Caenorhabditis elegans: one gene and its partners. The protein of the gene in region 1 interacts with the protein of each later gene in a pairwise test. Each region holds a gene or a part of one and is shown in the gene's direction. Other genes may lie near its edges.

Region 1 (7,656 bases):
GAGTGTTGCATATTATACCGCCAGTAATCATTGCGTTATCACATAGTTGACAACGGTTTGATAATGTCACAAAGTGTGGGGGTTTTGGAAGTGGCATCAAACCAGCATACGATTATTAGGACGTGATGAACTTATTTTACCTGAACATATTATTAGGTGGTGGAGCTGGGAGCTTAGTATTTGGGTTTTGAAACAATGCACCATGTCCTAAAAGATGCTTTATTGCTAGGTAGGGTGCCGCGACTTTTGTATTCATTATAACAGGTTCAGTTCCGATGCATCTGCATTTTTTTAATACTGTTCTTATTCTTAGCTCAATAATTCAGGCTGAGGGCCGCAGGCCCGAACACTTTTGGAAACTGTGGGCCAGCTTTAATCCTATTCCAAGCAAATTGTTATTCGCTCAAGCCAACTAACCAGATTTCCTCAAACTTTAATCGCTCATATCTCAGCTCAAAACCATAGCAGAGACTTCGTTTTTTAATCAATCGATCCCAAATTTTAAGGAAATCTCGAATATCCCTATCTCAGGTTTGAGGCGAAGCCGAGAACCTGCGCAAGCTACCTTTTTGGGCATCCCCATTCCCGAAAGGCTGGCGCGGCCCTGCCGCGCTAGTCATTTGCCAAAACGTCAAATTGGGTCATGTCACGATCCATAATGCCTTGAAGGGTTCTTCTGCAACAGTCCTAAAAGAAACTTAGCACTCTGGTTGAGGTATAGATGCACCATGTCCCAAAGGGTCCTGCCATGTTGGGACATGTCACGATGCACCATGTCCTGAAAGATCCACGCTCGAAAACTACATTGTTCCGAGTGTTTACCTCTATTTCAATACGAAATTTCAGCAAATTTTCATCCAAAATCATGTCATTCTAACAAGAGCCTATCATGTTGACTATAGGGTCGTGACGACCTGCTCGAGTTCGCCTCGCTCTCCTGTTATCAGAATAGCTATGCGTTAAGTACGCGATGTATTGACAGTCACGATTTAACGCTTCAGTTTTGTAGTTTTGCTGGAAATTTTTGAGTTTTTCGTTTTTTCTTGGCTCAAATCGAGTTTTGCTTTTTTGACGATTAAATAATTTATTCAAACTTAGCGCATTTTTTGACTGATTGTGAGACATGATGCATCGTGACAGGGCTTAATCGTGGCGAGACCCTCTAGTACAAAATTCTTTTAAATATCAGTAAAAGCATTATAATCCATGATTCTATACTTATTTTATGGAATTTTCAGCCTTAAAAAAATCTGAAATTTACGATGCTAAAATCTACTCAAATTATAGTTTCAATCCAAAATTTCTCAGAAAAACTAAAATTAGCATAAAAATGTTTTGTCTGAAATAGCCCTAGATTCAAATATCCCTAACACCCCAAAAAACACCAATGTACATCTCCTCTCCGTAAATATGTAGTTTTACAACCGCCTCTCTGTTGACTGGGAGCCATAAATGTAGATATATTATCTTTCCAGATCGCCTGCCGGCCCCTCCCACCTGATTGTAAAACTGCTCTTTGCTGTGGCGTTTTATCGACTTGTTTTTCTTATATATTCCATTCTACATACCTTAACACATTTTCTTGTATATTTTCTATACACTTTTTTAACTATAAAAAAATGCAACTCCTTTTTCTTCGATTTCTTTTTATGCAAATTTTTTGGCTTAAAGGTGGAGTAGCACCAGTGGGGAAATTGTTAAAAACCACTCCTTTGGTCCGAAAAGTACCGAATATCATAATAAAACTTTTCAATATTTTTTTGAAATTTTTTTATTCACAGTCAAAAAGTGACAATTACTCAGTTTTTGCCACTCATAATTTTGGAAGTCGACCAAAATGTTTTTTCTAGATTTTTTATAATGTAATTTTGTTTTAATTATTTGTATTAAAACATTGTAGGACAAGACAGGGCCGCAACATAAGATATTGCTTTGAATTTCCTCAAAAGCTCATATTTTTCAGAATTTTGGCAATTTGCCAAAACTTGGTATTTAAAAATTGTTAGAGATAACTGTATTTAGACAAAACATAGAACATTTGTATTTCAAAATAGTTCAAAATTCTAGTTTTTGAAATTTTGCGGCCAGACTGACCCCCACGATGCACCATGACAAATTGCAATTTTTTTTTCAAAAATTGTTTTCCAAAGGGGCGTGTTCCAAACATCTGACCCAAGTTTTCCCGTAGTTCTTCTCTCCCCCAGCGGGGTAAACACTGCACTTTACGACTCCGCCCAGTGCTTTTTTTTTCGCAGAAACTGAGAGAGAAAGAAACATCTGCGTCTCTCTCCCCCAGTACGCTCGTTCCCGCCCCCCACCTCGATCTGCCAGACCACACCGACCTGATTCGAGATTCCTTTTCTTATATGTATATGTTTTTGGAGAGGTGATCTTGTTTTTTTTGTTTCTCCTTTGGTTTTGTTCTCTATGCTCTGAACTTTGGTCTCCTACTTTTCTACAGTTTTTTTTTAAATATCCAAATTTTTGAAATAGAGGGTTGATCTACATGACCCCCATGCTTAGTCTACTATAATGCTATATCTGATGTTCCTCCGAATGGCCTGGTAGGTGAAGGCTTTTAGCCCAGTGAGCCGGCTTACCAAGTCTAGGACCATGGTTCTTACAACTTAAGGCCCAAAAAAAGCAGGCATCTGGCCTAACTTCCCCCTCACTAAATCTGTAGTAATATATAATTTCTATCATACTCCATCTTTTTTTTCTACCTCTTATCATGTTGTTATTGAGCAGCAACGCCCTTATATTGTTTGGTATATATATTTGATATAAAACCTCGTAGTAAATTTTATTTTACACAACAACATTTATTATTTACTTTTTTCATACTATTTTTTTTTTGCAGAACGAAAAAAAAATGCTATTCACAATTGAGCAACTGGAGCTCATCAAAAAGCTGCAGCACACCGGGATGTCATCCGATCAGTTGCTCAAGGCTTTCGGCGAGCTGGAAGTTCCAGAGCAGCTTCAGAATAACAACACAATTGCCGCAGCCCTGTACAGCCCACTCCTGGTCCAACATCTCACAACACCCAAATCAGAGACTCCAGTCAAACTCACCGTGCAGACAGTGCCGACACCTGTGAAGTCAGAGCCACAATCTTCAAATTGCTCATCACCATTTGAGCATCCGATATGCTCGAATGCTCCGCGGCCGATTAGGAGTCAGCGAACGCCGATGAAGGAGATTACCACACTGGACGATCCGAATGAGCTGGAGGAGTTTATGAAGCAGGGCGAGGAGGCGTGCATTTTGGATATGAAGACGTTCATCACACAGTACTCGTTGCGGCAGACTACGGTAGCAATGATGACAGGTTAGTTCCCAAAAAAGTGTAGTGGAAGAGTTTTTTTTCTAAAATCTAGGCCGTGACCAGAAATAAATCAGAATACATCCCCGGCGCCTAGATTCCTAATCTCTGCTGTTAGCCACAGTGCAATTGAGTATTACTGTAGTTGATTCCTTCTATGACGTCATATGAAATAAAGTTGGCTAAAGGGAAAAGGGGACTCTGGATCTTAGGCGAGCAATTCTCTGCAGCCGGCACCAGAATCGATCCCCCGGTGCCTGGATATCTATCCTTCGCTGTTAGCCACTGCGATATGCCCCACCCGCGCTGAGATCGAACCGAGGCGTCTGAATTCCTAGGCGAAGTTGCTACCCACTGCGCCATGTCAATCTTCTAAATTTCCAGGAGTAAGCCAGCCGTACATTTCAAAATTGCTCAACGGCAACCACCGTGAACTATCGCTCCGTTGCCGTAAGAACATCTACTGTTGGTACCTGAACTGCCGACGTCATCCCAACAAACTCGCTGCCTTCCTCGCCGATCCGACAACTCGCCTCGAGACGAATGGAGATGGCGAGCTGATCCCACAACGTCGAGAACGCTACGTGTTTCGTCCAATTCTGATCCGAATGCTCGAATCGTTCTTCACACAAACGCCATTCCCAGATCTTCCACGGCGAGTCGAAATAGCGAATGCTTGCAATCACGTTCTGAAGATGGATAAGAAAGGTGTTGGGTTGATGCCAAAGGAGGTGGTCAGCCCTCAAGTCGTTTCGAATTGGTTTGCAAATAAGCGGAAGGAGTTGAGAAGAAGATCCGCTGAAGCTTCGGCCGCCTCCACCTCGTCCGCTTCGTCTTCTGCGTCATCGACTGCTAATCATGATTCTGTCAGTGTGTCCAGCATGAGCCCTCGCGATGAAGAGGTGAGAGTTTTAATTTCTCGGCCACGCTGTACTCTGGGTGGAAGAATTTTTTCTAGGTCTTATAAGGAATCGCCCTCCGGTTTTCCCACAAGTTAAGTCATAAACATGTACCATCTAGAGGTTAAATTTCTGGAGTTTTATTTATTTGAGAGTGATGGTAAACCTGTCAGTCCTTGGCAAACATGTGTCTGTTTGGTCTCAAGGTCTAGGTCTAGGTCTAGGTCTAGGTCTAGGTCTAGGTCTAGGTCTAGGTCTTGGTCTAGGTCTAGGTCTAGGTCTAGGTCTTGGTCTAGGTCTAGTTCTAGGTCTAGGTCTAGGTTTAGATCTAGGTCTAAGTCTAGACACAAATTTCTAGGCCACGAAAATTTCTGCCGTGGCCTAGGATTTTTTAGGCCATATTCTAGGCCATGATCCAAAAAAAACTTTCCCTGTCTCCTCTAACCCATTTTTTTTGCAGACAAGCTCCCGTAACACAACCCCGGAGACAGCAATCTCCCCGTCACCAGCAGTGTCCACTTTTGAAGTGTCCCGCCCGTCTGCCATCATCTCTGCCACGTCATCAACAACCTCGCCAATCTCAATTCCAGCAACAATCATTCCATCAGTATCGCCGTCAGCTCTCGAACTTTTCGCCATGGCCCAACAGCTTGGAGTTCAGCTTCCGGTTCCATTTCCAACATTGCCAACACACTTTTTCCCGTTTCAAATGGCTCCGTTCTACGGGAACCCGGCTTCTATTTTGAAGTCTGAGTGAAGCATTTCTAATTTTCTTTTCTTCTTTTCTACACCAATATCTTTTTTCCATTTATTCAACTTATTCTTCATCCCATGACACGAAAACCTCAATTCTTTCATATTACAAACGATGCTCCGTTTCTTACGCCCTGCCCCACACACGCCCCGTCGTCCAAAAATCAATCAATAATCGATTTTTCATAATATTTAATTTGTTTTTTTTGTGTTTCACTGCTGTTTTAATATTTGAAAAGTACGAGTTTCTTCAAAAACATTTTTTGAATAATATTTGCTTCACACTCCACGCGTTTCGTAATGTATCGCTTGCCCTGAAATTTTGTTGGAAATTCCATTTTTTGTGCAATTTTTGTTATTTTTCAAGCGAGAATAAATATTTTCTAGTTCTAGAATTCAATGAAATACTTTGCAAACGCGCCCCATTGCACTTGACCGAGGGGTGAAACAAGTTCAGTGTTTTCAAGATATTTTTTTTTAAAAACTTGAATTTGGAACAATACAAAAATCTGTAAAATGCAACAGTTTTCCAAATCTTGTCCACGTGGAGTACACAATAATTTTTCATCTATACGGAAAGATTTCAAAATTGGAATGTTAAATTATTTTGTGGTTTCTAGGCCATGGGAAAACTAGGCCATCAAAAAAATTCCAGAGTGACCTGGAAGTTCTAAAACTTTGTTGAAACTTGTCCACGCGGAGTACACTGGTAGTTTATCAATAGAGCGCAAGTAATAATCCCTTGGAATTTTCCTTTCACCACCCCCTCTCCATTTTATATGAGAGTTTTTTCCCTCGCAATTTCCCACGCTCAAGAGGGTGGCCGCCATTTTTTTTTTGAGGGGGGTCGTATCTAGATTTGAAACACGTCATTTATGCTCAAAATGTGCCAATTTTTATTGTTTTTGAGTTTCTAGGCCATTTTGGTAAGTTAGGCCGCATACTGACTTTGCGACTTCCAAGGATATGGCCTAGCTTTTTTTTCTAGGCCATATAATTTTTTGAGTTGCAACTGTGGCCAATGTTTTTTTTGGGTTTCTATGCCACTTGTGAAAAGTTAGGTCATAGAATAACCTTACGGTAAACGGGTCCTCACAATCAGGAATTGTGGCCTAGTTATTTTCCTAGACCACGTTTGATTTTTGTCTTTCTAAGCCAGGTTTGGGTCTAGCTCTAGACCTAGGTCTAGTTATAGGTTTAGGTCTATGTCTAGGTCTAGATCTAGTTCTCTCACGTGAGAAAATTAGGCCACCTTTCCCCCTAAACTCTATGATCTCAAAACTAAAACTACTTTCTAGAAAACTCTTCGAAAATCATAAAACCAATTTTTTATCACTATTTTCATGCTAAAATCCAATCAGAAATTGATCAGAAACACGCATATAAATATTACGACTATAAATTCATTTCTTTTTTTCATTTTTCCCTCCAGAAGGCTCTTGGCGAGAAAAATCTGCATATTTTTTCTACTTATATGTGTCGAGACATGTGATATTCCGGCCGGCGGTGGCTCTGAATGAATATTCAATTGAACGAGAAATATATATTCTCTCCAGAAGGCGTTTATATTATGTGTTGCTCCTGTTTCTGCTGTATTCGGCGTGGATTTGGTATGCTTCTCAGTGGAGTGCAGTTGCAGCATTTTTTTTCTTCAAATTTTGCAATACTCTCGAACTTTTTGCACTTTCAAGCCTTTTTTTGGGTTGCCTAGAACACTAGAATTTCTGGACTATTTTGAGATTTCTAGGCCATTCTTGAGATTTCTAGGTCATATTGTGATTTCTAGTGCATTTTTGGGTTTCAAGGCCGAATTGGAAGTTTTAGGCCATTTTTCGGTCACATTTTTAGGCCACTTTGAGGATCTTGTGCCAAACTGGGATTTCTAGGCCATCATGGGATTTTTAGGCCAATTTCGAGTTTTCCAATCATAATATAATTTCTAGGCTATCTTGAAATTCCTAAGCCAGTTTGGAATAATTAGGCCATCTTGGGATTTCTACGCCATTCTCGGATTTCTAGGTTAAACTGGAAATTTTAGAATTTTGGGGTTTTAGGTCATACTGCGAATTTTAGTCCACGGTTGGATTTATAGGCTATCGTGGGATATCTAGGCCGATTATGGAATCCTAGGCCAACTTAAAATTTCTAGGCCATTTCGGGATTTCTAGGCCATCACGCCTCCTAAAAGGCACAGACAAAGTTCAAAACCCACCAGAAAAAAGTGTGGTGAATTAGTCAGCAACACCCCATTTTTCTTTTCCAAAAACTAAAAAAAAAGATACCCCTGACAGATATGGGCAGAGATGGGGGTGCGAATCCTGAAATTTCCGAATTCCAGTGGGAGCTTTTTGTGCCAGAAAAAGTAGTGGGGGCAAGTGAGAATGTGTGTCGCCTTCCACTTTTCAAACACCATTTTGTCCGTTTCGCCGGCCCGAAAATAGGCTTGAAAAGCTGTGGCCTAGAATTTTTTCTCAAAATTTTTGACGTGGAAGAATTTTAAGATTTTCGAGGCCAAGAGGTGGCCTAGAATTCAACATTTATTGGCAATTCTTATCTAGATCCCGAACCCCGACCAGTCAGTTTTTAATTTCCGGTGTCTGAATTTTTAATTAAAAATTATTTTTGGGAGGAGCTCCTGTTTTTTTTTCGTCAAAAAATGAAGGTGGCCTAGCTTTCTC
Region 2 (7,362 bases), on another chromosome or scaffold:
GTTTTGGCAACCTGCCAAGTTGTTTAAATATGGTACTTTTTTCAAATTTTATGATTACTGTAGGCTAAAACCTAAACAATGTTCTGATCCGAACGATTGAAGCATCTTTAAAATATAAAACTCGTAGGATACTTTTTTGGACGACATACACAGTTTTGATATGTGAAACCTAGATGTTAGCCACTTTTTTCCAGATTAAAAAAAGTCAAATAATTTTTGTCCAATGATAAAATAATCTTACAATTAGCTACGTTTTCATGTAAAAGAAAGTTATTTTTTACAATGAAGTTTTAGTTGCACATATTTCGAACCAATCGTGCATAAATAAATGAAACACATATTCCACGTTTCGATGAATGTGTGTTTGATGGTGGTGATCCATGTTTGAATGGAAATGACTCAATTATTTGTTTGCATTGTGCGGATAAATGATGTGGCACAATCCATTCCTGCACACGGAGCTCTCTAACTTTTAATATTTCACAATTTGAAGGTTATATTGATAGTGAATGTCACTTGACTTTCTTCCTACATTTTAGACAGTTTCACGAGTTTATCAAGTGTTTCATAAGAAAATACATGCAATGACGTAGTTGTTTGTTTGTAAATGTCTAAATAAATTGAAATCAAAGTTACCTAATCAAGTCGTGGTTGGAAACAATAGTTAGTGTTTCACTGTGATCTGTGCTGTTTTTTTAACTAGTAGCAATTGTTTGTGTTTTCTAGGAGTACAATATTCAAATTTGGTCACCAGAAATTTAAAATTTTGAATACTCAGAAATACTCAATATTGGTAAAATCATGGAAATTTATAGAGAAATTGGAAATTTATCGGAGGCTCTCCATAAGTAGAGCACTAACAACTTTTTCGAAAATTGGTCTTGGCTCTAATATTTTTGCTCCCCCCAATTTTGATAAACATTTTTTAACTCACAGAAAAATTCGAAGCATAACGTTCATTCATAATAATAATTCACAATATTCTTTTGTTTTCTAAATGTTGAATTTTATAAGTAGACTCTTAAAACTGGCCGTCCAAAATTAATCGTACACTTTTTCTTAAAGTTTTTTTGAAATAGAATTAAGCTTACAAAACAAACGCCTTGAATTTGTATGTTCTGTTCCTTTTCCTCATTTTCCTTTTCTTTCAAAATTTCCCAACTTTTATTATTTCTTTATTTTTCTTCCTTTATTGTTCTTCACATACATTTTCCTTTTTTCGTCCTTTTTTCCCAATCGATAAAAGGAGTCTTTCTAGAACACAATACTTTATCACAAAATCATGAGAGAGAAGAGTGTTTGCTGAAAAGGTAGTTTATGCTGACTCAGAATGTTTCGGTGACCGGCTGACTCTGAAACCTGTTTCTTGTTTCTGTTTACTCGATTTTACCTCATTTCCATTGGTTCCCTATTGATTTTTGAAACTTTTGATATTTTACTTGTTTTTTTTCAGTAACTCTTTTATGATTTTTCAGAAAACAATGGCTTACAAAGATATGATGGAAATGCCTGGAGTGCTGAAACCAGCACTCCTGCTTCTCACACTTCTTCAAATTATCTTTATGGCTTCACCAGGAGTCCGTGGATGGTTTTGGTTCATTTGCCTCACATCGATTCTGGAATTTCTCGCGGCTATCGCAGTTGTTGCAGTTGTTTTCTTAGATTTAACTTTTACAAGATCGGGACAGTTTGTGATTATTGTGAGTGAGAATTTTAAATCAATAGCGAATGCAGTAACTTCTTGGTAAAATTTTCACTCGTTTTTGGCAGAAATTTTACAACTTATTTGAGAGGTGTTTAATGAGTTGTCGCCGATTGTTTATATTGATAGTCGGGAAATTAAAGAATAAGCTGATTAAATCGATTTGTACTACTATTTGATTTGACTTCAGAATGTGCTCAAAATGTTGCTAAATGTTGCAAAATGTTGCTAAAAGCTGAACTCTCGCTCTCCATAGGCAATATCTATTCACATCAGCTAAGAATATGTATAGGTTCGAATATATTTAGGCTATTAGTAATGTCTCTTAAAATATTTGCAACTATTTTAACATGATAATCAGGACGAGTTCATTCCTGCCTGTCTGATTTCTTGTCTACCGTAATTTTTCTATAATACTGATTCTACTATCAAATGTTTCATTGATGTGAAAAATGTTATAAAAATGCAGGCAAAAAGTTTTAAAATAATTTATTTCAGGAACTCGCATACAGTGGAGCATTCTGTGTATGCAGTGCTCTCAACACTATTTACTATTTTTGCAATATCTTCTATCATTTCAATTTTTGGTTCCTTTTGGCAACTGTTTGTTTTTTAAGATACTAAAACTTAAGAATCAGTATTATTATATTTTCAGATTGTATCGGTACTTCTTGTACTAGCATATGGTCTTCAAGCACTCATGGCTTGGACTTCAATGTCTGCTTCAAGAACTTCTTCTTCACACACTTCAAACCAAGCAACTGCTGGACCACCACCAACAGTCTATCCAGCCGGAGCCAACCCTGCATAAGCTTTGAACAAAAACGAATTTTAACGGTTTATAGCTCTTATTTATTTTTTAACGAGACATCACAAAAACCCCTTCTTTCTCACTCTTTTCTCTTGCTCTCCTACATTTGACATGTTGACATTTTTGAACAAAATAAAGTGTTTCCTTTAACTAGTTAAAATATTTTTGGAAGCTGAGGATAACGGCGAGGCTTAAACAAGAGTGCATCTAGCCCGCATCTGTCCTCGCCCTCATTGCAAAAGCTTCATTTCCCGATTTGCAAGTATGGTAATGTGTAATGACATTTGTTGAGACGCAGTTGAAGTTGAAAATGGCTAAATGAAAAAATAATTGGCGTTTCTTTTCAAAATTAATTTTCAAAAAATGACATCCGTGGCCTTCCATTTTTCAAATACCACGTCACAACAAAACAACCGAATAACCAGAAAACTACAAAATAAATTTATTTCACAAAATTTACAAGACGTAGAAGCGAAATCAAAACAATGTCGCTATCGGAGCTGTCAGTTCTGTCTGCTGAAACTGCAATCAGTTTTCACGAAATGGATTTGGAAATTTTGAAGGAGAGTCAGAAGGCGTTGAGGGAAGAAGCTGGAGGAAAAGAAGAGGTGGAGGAAACAGTGGAGAATCCGAATCCAATTGTGTTCATTGCCGTTGATGATCAGAATCTACCAAATGGAGAGGAAGAGGACTCATTCATCTTCGAAAAACTTCAGTTTCGAGTCAAGCAAGTTATGGAAAACGGTACTCGTCGTGTATATCTTTCTGTGCAAGCAACAACTCCTGCTGAATGGCAACTTCTTGTTCAACTCAGAATCAAAACTGGATGTCAGTCGAATATTTTGAATGTTGTTGATAAGGATGTTTATAAATTTGATTCATTTTCATATCCTCTGAACGTGGAAATTCAGAATAGTGACGTCAAATTTTTGAAATTTGAAATGAGAGTGTTGAATTTGGTGAGTTTTTTTTTTTGAGATTATAATCTATTGATCTGTAAATTATAAACTATTTCAGATGTACCTGGATCTCCCAACTTTTGAGGAAGGTGATGAAGTGATTGAATTCGACGATGGATCTCGTATTCGTGTTCATTCAAACATCCTCTCCCTATTGTCGGATTATTTGGGAAAATCGGAAAAAGAGTACGCATCTCGTACGGATTGCCCAGCTATCAAAGCAACTTGCTCTGAAAAGGAAGCATTCCTCGAACTTCTTTACCAAGCATATCCTACTCGCCGTCCAATTTTCGCATCATTCCGTCGTTTGACAGCTGGAGCCGTTGGTTACAAGTGTGACAATTTGATTTATCAGTTGTCGAAACATCTCATTGACTACAATTACAGACCGGTTTGAAGTTCTTTTATTTGAAATTTTCTAATGAACTATTTTCAGATGACATTCTTGCAACGCTTTCAAGCAGCGATTGAGAATAGATTGGAGCCTGCTATCAGTGAACTTGCATTCCGTGCAGCTTTGGACGGAACATGGAACCAGATGATTCAATCAGGATTTGAACCTGAGAACTTCTGTGGTCGTCAAGTTTACACGAAAATTGTGTGCCCCGCTATCTTGCTGGCAAGAAATGCAAAGCCCGATGCGACAACTTTGAAGAAGCCCGAGAACAATTTGAAATTTATTGAATTGGAGGTAATCCAATGTTGAACAAAGTTTAATATAAAGTAGTTTATTTAGGAGGGTGACACTACCAAGTCTGCAATTCTATTCCGTGGAACCATCTTCTACATCAACAGTGGGATACTTGCCGCTCATGGAAAGGAAATGCTTTGTATTGGTCAAAATGGAGAATACATTGCTCGTTACACTGCAGAATTTCATCGCGAATGTGCTCGTGGAGACTTGATCCCTGGCGAAGTTCTTGTTCAACTTCTCACCTACATGCATCCAATGGGAGAAGTTCCTCATCCGGATATGATTCGTGCTTGCATTGTTTTTGCTTTCGATCATGGATGGAATATTGTCAAGGAAAACTTGGAAAATGAATTTGAGCCACCAATTACACCAGATGAGTACATGTCGCAATTGATGTTTGGAGACAAGTTTGATCTCAAAAACTTGCTCCGTGTCAATATTCAAAGAGCCGAGTCAAGGTTTGTTTCGAGAAAGTTCCAATTAATCACTATGTTTCATATTTCAGTTGTCGTGAACTTGCCGAGGTTTTGGAGAGACATGGAAAACTGAAAATCTTGAAGGATCGTACTCATGAAGGAATCATGGACAGAATGTGCAGTGGATGGGGACTGAATCCAATGGTCAATCGGCTTTCTACTAGGTTTATTAGTTTAAGTTTTCATTCATTCAACAACTTACTTCTACAGATTTCCTACAACTTTCCACCACCGTACTGTCAATTTGCAACGTGGTAAAGCAGTGGTTGTTGGAGAAGGTCGAGCTGTTGACACGTTGAACTCTCTGGCATCGGATCACGCATTTGGAGAACCAACGGAGCTTATTGTCGTCGACTAGTATTTTTCGTAACTTCCTGTATGATTTTTAATGTTTTTTATTTTCTCTATTTGCTCCGGACTTGTGATTTGTAATGCTATGCTTCTCCAACCATTCTCTATAAAGCATTTCTTCGATCATACACCTCCCTTTGTGCACTTTTTGCAGAGAATTACAGAATTAAGCTCCGAACACATGTGTCGTTCGGGTCGATAATCCGAAAATACGCAAAAGCGCCTGAGTTGTGCTCTTTTCTGCTGCTTGCTGCTGCTCGGAAGACAGTCTCAGTAGCCCGGAGGGACTCTCCCGTAGCGGCTCCCGTTGAGGGACATTGCGGCGTGTTGAGCAAATGCAAACAATGACCGGATGGTATGTGCGTGCGTCTCCGCCGATCAGCATGCTTCTCGCCAACTCTGGAATCGTCGTATTTTGCCACTTTTCTGCTATTCCACCTCTCTTTCTCTCTAGCTGCCTGATCCTTTCACAGTCATGCCAAAGTCTTTCGTCACTGGTTTCTTTTTTGTTTCTTCGTTCGCTTAATTTTCGGAGCCTAATCTTTTCAACTTTTTAGAAAGTTTTCCAGTTTTCTCTTGATTCGTGTGCACTCATTTTCCTCCCAAAAAATTTCAAAACTGATTGTTCAATCCCGTGATTTCAATTTTCTGCCAGTTCGGAAGTTTGACATTTTATGAGACTTGGTGGTTAGCTCACATCAGGATTCACATTCCACGAAAATTTTGTTATATGTTTTCCGAAATTATTTTTTCCCATTATTAAGATTTTGCAAAACCTTTCAGTTACCACAAAATGTACATTTCCCAATAAGAAAGGAAGTTAAACGATTACTTTTGAAATTAACAAACGTTTGGTTATGTATCAAAAATAACCCCAGACTACTTCGTGTTTCTGAATCAATTTACTTTTCCATGTTGAAACCTTTTCAAGAAATTACTTAAACAATTAAGCTCGTTTGAAACCTCATCATCCGACATTTGTTCAAACAGACTTCCTATTCAAAAAACAAATGTCACAAACAAAAACGTCGTCGTTCTTGCGCGGAGCCGAAAATACGAACTGTTGGCTGGTGGTGGTGGGGGCTCCCATTGTCACTTCTTTGCCTTCGAGTTCGAATTTCACAACTTACACCTCACTAATTTGTGCGCAATTCTTGTTCCCTTTTCGGAAGATTCTTTTCTTAGTTTTTGGTTGGTCATTTGGATGGTAGGGGGAGGAGGAGACAGGAAAAGTGGTTAAGCTCGGCTTACAATTGGTCGAACCGTTTTTTTCACTTACGTTGATCGCAGTTTTTGTGCTTTTAATTAATTGTTTGTTTTGTATACTTTTTCGAAATTCTTTTAAATGCAATGTTTTATTACGGATGTTTTGTACTATTGATAAAAGTTTTTAATCGAGAAAGTTACCGCACGGCTTATAATTTTTATGGTAAACTATAGTAGGTCATTTCAAAACAAGTTATTACAAAAAATAATTTTTTGGTACCTATATGAGTACTTTGCTTCATAAACTAATCTGAGCTTCTTCTAATTTTCAACTCAGTTTTGTTTCCCGGTTGCCCTTTCCTCTTGAAAACATTCCTTATGTCTGTCCACTTGTGCGCTTACTCATTGTATCCATGTCAATTATCGCATGCTTCTCAAACACTTCCGTGCTCCAATTCCATTGCTCTTGCCCTCCCGCACTCATTTCAAAATGTTTGCAAATTCCATTTCGTTGTTCTTTCGGTCAATCACAACAATCCGGAACCCCGGACACCATAAAATCGAAATGTTTCATAATAATCGGTGTGTGGCAAGGTGTCAAACCCGAGGCAGCAGCAGCACCACCGGTGCGTCGTAAGGGATGCTTGAGTGGCTCCGCGGAGTCCGCCAAAACTAGCTTGTTTTCTGCCGCCTGTTCATCGTGTGGCTCCAGCCATTTTCTGCTAAGAGAGACATTTCTCGCGCGTGTGACGTCAAACACGTAATCAGTGTAGGCATTCAATGTGTCTGACTCATTAATTGCAAACATTTTTCTCACTTTTCCAATCTTATTGTTCTAGACTATTTCCTTGTTTTCTTATAATATAAAGCAGAAACATTGAACAAAAGCTCTAAAAGATTTCATTCATTTTTAATTTTTCCCATTGATATACAAAGTTATAAAGTAAGCTTTCAAAATGTAAGATTCACATTCCATTTTTTCATTGCTTGTTTACTGTATGATGTTTCCAAAGGAAACAAGTTATAAAGCTTCCGGAACGCATTGTATTATTAATTTATAAATAGTTTTTACTGTCAGAAACTGTTTTTCGATATTGAATCTTAAAAATATAACATTTTGAACTCACCAATTCATTGAACGGCCAAAGATCCTTCTTTCATGA
Region 3 (9,554 bases), 8.5 Mb from region 1:
TTTCTTTCCTCGCGCTCTTCGTGTACAGGAAACATACACAAAACACACAATTTCACTTTTTTTGCGCCCCTCGGCTCCATACATCGTTTTTCGACAACGGCAATTCATGTTCCTTTGCGCAAAAACAATGTGATATTAGATTGTTCTCCCTCTCGTAAATACCAACTTTTATGAATATATATCGTCCCGCGTATCAGTCTTATCTCATCAATTCCTACTACAGGTATTGACGATGTTAACAGTTGGGTTACTGTTCCACGTATATAACATGACATAAATTTCCATATTATATAGCAAGATCAGATTAAGATATATTGTTGTACCATCTGAAATATCCCACCTGCTAAAGTTCTTCCAGTTCATGCCCCTTTTTGTAGACACGTGTCATGATGTATGAGTTGATCGATGTGTTTTGGTACAATGGCAAGAAGGTGTCTCTACCAGCTGTTAGAATAAGAACTGTAATTATAGATATGGCAATGTATTCAAAAACACTCTCGTACTTATATTATGGGTATCATAGAGATTATTGCAACTTTAATAGAGTTGTATACTGGCAGACAATTTTTCTATATCTGCTCTTGGTTAAAACAAAGTAATAATCCGAATGCTCGGTATTCAAGTAGTAAATTCAATATAGAAACTTTTCATTTTCATAAAAAAACGCGATGAAAAGTTTATGATAGCAGGTTTTGCTCTTGATTTTTCTGGATTAACGGTCTTTAAATTTTTTTAGTGACAAAGCTATAAAAAACAACGGCGGCAAAGAAAATCCCTAAAAATTATACCAAATGTTTTTAGCTTGAAGCTTTTAAACTTTTAAAAGGGAAAAGCCTTGCGTGTTTGGATCATTTCAAGTTTCTTCGTTGAAAAATACCCCATTTATGAGTTAGGAAAACCACTATTTTGGAAGTTCTTAAAAATCAACAAATGTTCTTCAATCTCTTGGGTACATTCAACTTCTTCTTCACCGTCGAATTCAACTCTTCTCCCGCTTTTTTCGATTAAACGGAACGCTTAACTTTTCCGTTAATTACCTCCAAGTATTTCCTTTCTGCAACCACTACCGTATTCCATGTATTTAACAAAAAAGTGAGCAGTGTTTTCACAAAAAACAACACCGCTCTCTGGAAAGCACCAAAACCCATTAACTAGTTGCTTCTTCTACTTCAATTCCACAGCTTCATCATCTTCTGGCTCCAGCTCCTCATAAATTGTGCCGCGACCTCATGTCTACACCCTCCTACCTCCCGTGTTCCTCCCCCGGCGATTGACTCCGCCCAATGACTCCTCCTCCATCGCTTTCTCATCATCGTTTGACATCAATCTCCCTACCATACACCTTTTTGTCTTGTTTGGCTCATATGTACCTACATCTTCCTGTATTAGTACAAACTTCCGCCATTGAACTTTTTTTGTTGCAACTTTATGTTACTATATATGTGTTGTTGTTACATGTTGTAATAACTAAATGATCGAATGACCCAAAGAGAGATGTTAACACAATAACTGACACAATAGTAAATGTATTACACCGTGTCCTCTTTTTTTACCTTTTTCTTCTCCATTTTCTTTTTCTTCATCATCGTCATCAGCGCCATCGTTGGCCACTTACTCTCGCCGGCGCCCCCTATCCAGCAGCTACACTTCTTTACACCCCGCTTCGGACAACAAGAGACATGCCATTTTAAACTTCTATTCTCTCAATTCTTGTCCCCCTACAAACCGTTCTGACCATTACCTAATTGCTTCTACGATGTATCATTCTTGACTTAAGTTCACTGATTTCAGCTTCTTCTCCTTTGTCCTTTTTTTGTTCGTGGCGCCATTGTGTGTTCGGGTCATTTGATAGTACTCTCTAGATTTTCCGTCGTTTTACTTTTTAACTTTCAAATGTTTATACTTTTTTTCTCTTCATCCTGCCAATATTTCGGATTAAACTCTATGCAATGATCCTTCCAAAGCTTCCTCTTCCCGTTATTTGCTTCAATTTTCAGTTTCCATTCGTGAGCCAGCCAGCAAATTTACAACTTGTTTGCTCTTCGTCCTTGTGAATACATTTATTGAGATTTTTGGTTCTTGTATTTCTTAATTTTCATTCCCAAACTTGATAATTGGTAGAGGTAGAGAGGTATTAGGTTCGAAAGATTTTTTTTGCACAAAAATAACAATTCTAGAATCAAACTTGGAAATAATAACACTAAACAATGAAATAGTAAGATATCAAAACCATCATCATTCTTACAATCATTAGCTGGAACGGTTAATTGTTTATCTTTCAATCTCTTTTAGTTGCCATATCATCAATTTGTTTTCTTTCCGTTCGATTCTTGTATCCTTCATCATCATCTTCTTCTACTTCTCTTTACTCCGATTCTTTTCCGTTTCTCTTCGTGAATTTCTCCGGTTTATCTTGTTAAATCTACGTGTTCGCACGTGTTTTTTGCGCTTCTTCAATTTCTTTCCCTACTCTCCAGGCCCCGCCCTGTGGCTTCCATGTCTATTGGATGGTGGGCGGGACTTGAGAGAGAGAGAGAGACACACACGGCCCCGGGCGGGCATCTGCAGAAAATCGAGATTGCTCAACAAGTTGTTGAACATAAGGTCCCACATAGTTCTACATCATCTCAATTTCTTCAAGAATTATCAATCAAACCTTTTCTCTTTCTCTTCTATGCTTATCACTGAATCGCTCCTCCTTTGCTCCCTCTTGATTTCGTCGCCTCTCTGCCTCTCTCTCACTCTCTCTGTCTATCTTTTTCAACAAAAAACTGCTCTGGAATTATAACTGATATCAATGTGTTCTTCAGATCATAAATAATCATACTTATCAACTATTGTTTCTGCACTTGTACTGAGATCAACACATCTACTTCTACTACACCATCACAATGATTCCTATTGCCAATCAGGTCAGTTTTTAAGCGATAAGTTTAATAAGCTAAATTATAATTTCTATATTCTCAAGTAGTGTTCTTACATTTATTTATTTCATTTTTGTCCTTCTTGACACTTGGAGTCAACTTCCTGCTCTTTCCAATTGCCATGTTAACCTTGCACCGCCACTGCTTGGCGGTTTATATCTCGGTTGCCTTCAGCTTTATCAAAAAGTGTTATACAACCAAAACATAGAAAATTATTTTGCAAGTAAATTGTCCGTTTGAAGTTTTTTAATAAAACCACAAAGAACTGAGATATAAACTGTCAAAGTGAAGGAAGAGGGGGGTGCAAGTCTAATATAGAAAATTGCAGTTGAGAAGTTGTCAAAGCTTGGACAAGGTTTTCGTTTTCGATTCCTACCAATTTTTACATAAATCTTAGATTAGACAACATTTGAACACAGTCTCAAAATACTTCCTTCCAAAAAATTTAGATGCCAAATGTCAGATTTATTCGTTTGGATACCTTCACTTCACCTGACTAGAAAAGTAAATCCATTTCCAGGTCAAAATGGAAGAGCCCACAACACCACAAACAACGACTCCTGCTCCACCCACTTCAGCTCCGGATGCACTTCGCGGAATTCTGCCACCAAACCTTTTAGGTCAATTTCATTTCCATCCTGCCATGGCTCAAGTTCTCGCTGCTCAAGCTCAAGCCGCCGCCGCCGCTCAACAAGCAACTCTTGCTGGCTTCCCCGGAGTTCCGATGTTTCCACATGGAATTCCAGCAGATCTGAAACCAGAAATGTTATTAGGTGGAGGGCCAGGACCGATGCCCATGTTCTTCAGTGATGCTCATCGTTTATATCATCCATATGGTTTAGATGGAATCAAGAAAAGAAATGCAACACGAGAAGCAACTGCACCACTCAAAGATTGGCTTCATTCTCATAGAAAGAATCCATATCCATCAAAAGCTGATAAAGTTATGTTGGCAGTTGGTACAGGAATGACACTTACACAGGTATGTTGTATTATTTCTTGTTTTGACAACAATTAGTAAATGCAACACTGTGAAATGATTTAATAGCCGTAATAGCCTATTACCAACCGTAATCTCGTAATTTACTCCACAATATTTGCTCAATTTATTAGCTCACACGGGATTTTAGAGCCGCCTCTAGTCATCAATTACAAATACCACAAAAAATATTGTTGTAAAATGTAGTAGACAGTGTTTCCCGCAGTGTTATTGTAACATTAGCCACTCACCGGCCATCAAACCCCGGGGGCAAATGTCTCCTTTTTTGACCGATGCCAAAAAAAGAGGGGCGAGAAACAAAAGATGTACAGAGGCGATAAGCGATGATGATGACACCTCGTACCCCGCTTAATTAATGTGTTTCGAGAGACATTCTTTACACAATACGAGAAATGTTTCAAACCAAATAGGGCTACTACTTGTTTGATTTTGTTGCAATAGACCAACAACACACAACCTTGGCGCCAAAAATTAGATTTTAAAATTGTTTGAACCAAAACTTTGAAGTTATTTTATTAAAATAAACTCTAGCCCGAAAAACAAAGCCGAAGCTTGAAATTTATATTTTTAATTACAGGTCTCGACATGGTTTGCTAACGCCAGAAGACGACTGAAGAAGGAGAACAAGATGACTTGGTCACCACAAAATCGACGAGGCGATGGTTGTGATGACGATGAAGACGACGATGATGATGACATGAACCGTCCATCAAGCTCAACATCCATAAATTCCGAAAGAAAAGGAGAATCCCTATTCGGAAAGCCACATCTAGCATCACCAACGCCTTCGGGAGGATCTGGAGGATCAGATGAGTTGACAACACCGAAGAAAGAACTAGTATCCCCAATTCCAAATGATGATTCTGAAAGTCCGAAGCGTAAACCAAAAATGTGGTCGATTGCCGATGTCACTTCAGATGACGATTCATCAAAGAAGGTGAGAGCAAAAAAGTTTAGATCATAAAATACATTGTACAGATTTTATAGTTTTCCCCATCTTCCCTCTTATTCTAACAGTTTTACGAAATGGACTTAAAAACTATTATATGTTTAGTAGGGGCAAATAAAGAGTCCTCCTCTCCCTTCATCTTGTTCTGCACATTTTATAGAGATGTAAACTAGTATGAATCATTTGTATGTGTGTATGTGCAAACTTGTGAGGTGAGTGTGAAGCAGCCGACAAAACTGTGCCGCTTTAACAACAAACATGATTGAATGATGGTTTTATACATTTTCATAAAGTACATTAAGGAATTGATGGGAGATCAGGGGGTCATATTGTAAAGTTTAGGCATGGGTTACTGTACTTGGAAGATACATTGAAGCATACAGCAGTGCCTTTTGGCAGCTTATATTTTTCATAAAGTTGTTAAAGTGAAGTAATTTAGTTCAAGATGATGAATAATGGTAACCCCTAGCAAACATCTTTTTATTTAGGATTCTCCACCATCATCAGACGAAAATCTATTAACGGGAAGCTTGTTCCAAAACGCAATGAAAAAACAAATGGAAGTAATGGCACGATTGGATCCAACTTTGTTCCGTCACACAATGCACCCATTCATGTTCCAACTTCTAGCCCAACAAGCTGCTCAAGGGCAACAACTTGCACTTTTGGCACCACAAACAACTCCTCCAAATGAAGCAGGTGAGGTGAGCAGGTGAATACACTTTTCTTACATTTTGTTACATGGCAACCTGTCTGCTTTTTCTTATCATTCTTTTTTTGGGTATTCCGAATGATTGACAGCTAGTTGAACACCGTGCGTGCTTGTACATGAACAAGAAAAGTCGAAACGTAATCCTCTTAATTTTAAAGTTGTTATCCTGTCGTGACGCTCAGTTTTTTTGCTATTTAATGCACTAATCATCCCATATTTACTGATAATAGGTGTATGTTTTCTGATACACATTATAAGGGGAAAGTTCAGTAGCTACAGCTTCTAGATAGGCATTAACAAAAGAGGGTCTACACTTAAGTTCTAGATCCTTTTCAAATGTTTTAGCTCAGAAAGAGGAGTTCTTTTCTATGTAATAATTTTGTTCGAAACGTCAAAGGCAACGAAAAAGGGCTTAAACTGAAGTAAGTGTCTCCTCATTGACCCCACGGATTAGTGTGCTCGTTTTTCTAAACCGCGTGTTCTTCGTCACTCAGTTTTTGTCCAAAAAAGGAGCGCTGCTCCCGGAGTCAAGTCACCGAATGATAAATTGCCGATTTGATCCGTTCGTATAGTTGATGGGAAACACTTTCTTATAACTTATTGAACATGTAAAAGCAATTCTAGTTGACCAATATGGGGAAAAACTAGAAAGCCTAGTCTTATTTGAAACGTTGAACTGAAATTTCTCAGAGCATTCCTTCAAATACAAGCATGTCAAGCTGCTCTAAATCCGGATTTTACATTATTTTAGTGATTTTAAGGTTGTTTAGATGCAAAAAACATTCTGAAAGCTTTTTGGAGATTTTAATAATTTTCAAAAAATCAGATCATTTTTCACACAACTCAATCTTAAAACTTTCAAAAACTAAAAATTTCAAAAACTTTTGAAATATAGCTTAATTGACTTGGTGCCTAGGTTTATTGCAATATACAATATTTAAAAAATCTTTGAACAATTTTTAAGCCTTGATTTTAATGAATAAATAATTTCAGGTCTGAACTCTCAAGCGGAGACGTCGACGCCATCTCCAGCATCTTCTCCAACGTCGTCTCCACGGTCCCACCAAGAGTAGAAACCCCAGCTTATTAAGTTTAATTTTTTTAAATGAATATTGTACTCTCTCAAAGTTTCACCTCCTCCACTAAGAACTCTGAAATCGAGAAAATATGATATAAACAGCGGGTCTTTGAATTTCATTTTTTTCTCCATCCCATTTAAGTTTCGATTATTTTGGTCTCTCTCTATGTACAGTACAGTATTGTCTCCCAAATATTCACATCCCATCAAAAATTTCATTCGGTTACTGTAGCACCATATAGGCTTTTTCTTTCTCATTCATTTGCTTTTTTATGTTCTTTTAAACTTTATATGAATTCCATGACTATGAATTTTTTGTCTCTCTTTCTCTATTTTTTCCCCCAATTTCTCCCAGTTTTTTCTCACATTATTAACATTATTATTATTTCAATTCCACACAATTTTTCACAGGATGCATCTAGTTTTTGAGCTTATGATCGGTTTTCTCAATTTCCCGCCAATAATTGGAGTACTTTAGAAACAATTTTCTTTTTTTCTTGCTTTTTCCCACCAATTCGCTTCAAATCTCTTCACGCAAACCCACTTTTCTTACAATCCCATCTCATTTCTTTGACAATTTACAGTTTTTTGTGAGAAAGATACAACAACCTGCACGCATAATTTAGAAAATGAAGAAGGTTTAATATTTATTTCTTGAATATATTTTAAGCTAACAAAAAATCATGAAAATGGATATACATTTAATTGCACAAAATACTGCAACCATTTCAAAGAATTGCAGGCTGAATTAGTGACAACATTTCGGTTATCAAGAACGTGCACTTTTAAAGTAATTTTGAGCATTGCTTCATGTTCAAAAACATAGAATTTTTAAAACACAAATGGTTATAGAAACAAAATTAAAAACGTATAAAACTGGTTGATGATATATTTTTTTTGGTCGACTGTCAAATTATGATTGGTAAAACTAAGTTATCACCACATTTTGGCTGTAAATAAAAATTTCTGAAAAGGTTCACAATGATATTTAGACGTTTTAGCGTTTTTTTTTTAAATTTCCACTTAAAAATTCAATTGAAGTCTTTTTAGTTTATTTTCCCATTACTGTTTTTTGCCGACCTCTTGAAATTTAGGGGATGTGTAAATGTAGACATATGTACATTTTGGAAGCTTTTTTTAAAAAGAAATATCATGATTCTTAAAAAATCTGATAAAATAAATAAATTTCCACTTGATAAAAAAATTCCAGATTATGTATTGTCTTGTTAAATGTTTTGACCTACTATTTACAAAGCGTAGTTTCAAATTAATGTGAAAAATGAATCAGTGAAAACAAAAACAGCAGATTTCATTCATTAGACACACACACACACACCATATCTCTAAAAACAAGGAATTACATGCATTTTCTCTTTATTTTTCCACATCTCGGTGACCCATGTAAACGCCTAATTGAAAATGAGATACGACAACGACGTCTAAACAAACATCGGTGAAGCTTAGAAAACAATGAATTTGTGTTGTCTGGATTCTTGGAAAATTTGGAAATGAGACAAAACCAAATTTGCCACCTTTATATTTAATGTTCCACATTTTAGAACTGTTTCAAAAAATATAATTTTTAATCGTGGATTCTAATTTCAGATAACATAATGCAATAAAGGCAGAATGTGCTTTAAATCGTTTGAAATAATCGCATTATTCCAAAATACAAAAAAAAAAGAAAAAATATTTAGGCACAATACCGGAATCTCATTTTGCATCTTTGAAAATTAAAAAATCTTCTCAAAATGTTTTCAAATCTTTAGTTAACTGTTTTAAACACTTGCTATTATCAATTAAACTTGTAGAAATCAATACCTGAAATACCTGAAAATGTGGTATTTTTCTATGCTGTATTTGCTTTTATCCTTCAACATTTCAAAGTTTCTTTCTTTTTTCCATTATTCATGACTATACAATTTGGAAAAGCATGAGCAAGTGAATTGTCTCTATGGATACATCCTGCGCATTTGAGCACATAAAATATTTTTCAAGAAATCCTTTCACCATTCTTTCTTTTTCATTATTTGTTCAAAAACATCTCAAAAATGTCAAACGTTGACCGATATGTAAGTTACCCGCTTAATTTAATTTTTACTAATTTTAAATTTTCAGGATGTTCACCGGGATGGTATTGAGAAAGATCGAAAAAGGTCTCGAAGCCGAAAACCTCATCAAAATGGTCAAAGCCAGTCAACTATGGATAACCGTCCTCCATGGAATAATGGTAATCAATGCATTATAATGGGATTTTATTTATTTATATAACTCCCGAAATTTGTAAATAGCAAATATAAAAAAAATTGTTTTATTTCTAGTTCATATTTCAATTACCTTTCAAGTATTATTATTCACACATTGTCAACAGTCTTCAAAAGTGCTCAAAATACCTCAAAAAGTCACAATTTGTAAAATGTTTTTTTTTTTTTTTTTTTTTTTTTTTTTAAATTTACCAAAACTTGGGCTAAAATTTTGAAATCTTGAAAAATGTTTTGGAGTCTTCAATTATGATATATGTGGATGTTTCTGACAAGAAGAATAAGTTAATTTGATGTTCAATTCCGCAACTACCTAAATATTTTTTAATATTCAAGAAAGTTTTAGTTGCTTATTTCGTACTGACAAACTTTCCAATTTTTTCAGATACATACATCGAAGGATATGATGATGTTGATGAGCATGGAAAGTTCAGAAAACGAGGAGGTGGAATGCCAAAGACTATTGACAGACAGGTAATGTTTGGGATAGGAATAACTGATATATTCAAACAAAAAAAATTAAAAATTTTAATGATTCAGTGTTACGAGCAAATTTGACTACAAATTGGGCCTTTGACTGTGTTCAAAACGAATTTAAGAATTGGCCAAGTATGAGTTGCATGAATGGCT

Evidence for each region. Proteins that work in one complex are often made in the same cells at the same time.
Region 2: the proteins of hmbx-1 (region 1) and C18E9.8 interact in a two-hybrid assay, tested with the Caenorhabditis elegans proteins (one large-scale study listed by BioGRID).
Region 3: the proteins of hmbx-1 (region 1) and irx-1 interact in a two-hybrid assay, tested with the Caenorhabditis elegans proteins (one large-scale study listed by BioGRID).

Annotation. Positions count from the first base shown.
Region 1 is NC_003279.8:986,811-994,466, forward strand, and holds hmbx-1 (Homeobox-containing protein 1), read left to right. Parts: upstream 1-2,860; 5' UTR 2,861-2,872; coding exon 2,873-3,332; intron 3,333-3,710; coding exon 3,711-4,228; intron 4,229-4,685; coding exon 4,686-4,982; 3' UTR 4,983-5,368; downstream 5,369-7,656. UniProt on the Caenorhabditis elegans protein: Transcriptional repressor which maintains cell fate asymmetry of AWC neurons in adults by repressing the expression of multiple AWC (OFF) genes, including srsx-3 in the AWC (ON) neuron.
Region 2 is NC_003280.10:8,983,658-8,991,019, reverse strand, and holds C18E9.8 (DUF7754 domain-containing protein), read left to right. Parts: upstream 1-2,957; 5' UTR 2,958-2,998; coding exon 2,999-3,472; intron 3,473-3,530; coding exon 3,531-3,863; intron 3,864-3,908; coding exon 3,909-4,163; intron 4,164-4,208; coding exon 4,209-4,624; intron 4,625-4,671; coding exon 4,672-4,806; intron 4,807-4,852; coding exon 4,853-5,000; 3' UTR 5,001-5,120; downstream 5,121-7,362. Other genes in the region: C18E9.9 (MARVEL domain-containing protein), read left to right, coding at 1,482-1,700, 2,201-2,305, 2,358-2,513.
Region 3 is NC_003279.8:9,534,223-9,543,776, reverse strand, and holds irx-1 (Putative iroquois-class homeodomain protein irx-1), read left to right. Parts: upstream 1-2,810; 5' UTR 2,811-2,891; coding exon 2,892-2,912; intron 2,913-3,444; coding exon 3,445-3,906; intron 3,907-4,106; exon of another isoform or gene 4,107-4,246; intron 4,247-4,501; coding exon 4,502-4,861; intron 4,862-5,361; coding exon 5,362-5,572; intron 5,573-6,578; coding exon 6,579-6,658; 3' UTR 6,659-7,312; downstream 7,313-9,554. Other genes in the region: C41G7.15 (Saposin B-type domain-containing protein), read right to left, coding at 9,467-9,554; C41G7.7 (uncharacterized protein), read left to right, coding at 8,715-8,735, 8,782-8,893, 9,310-9,398.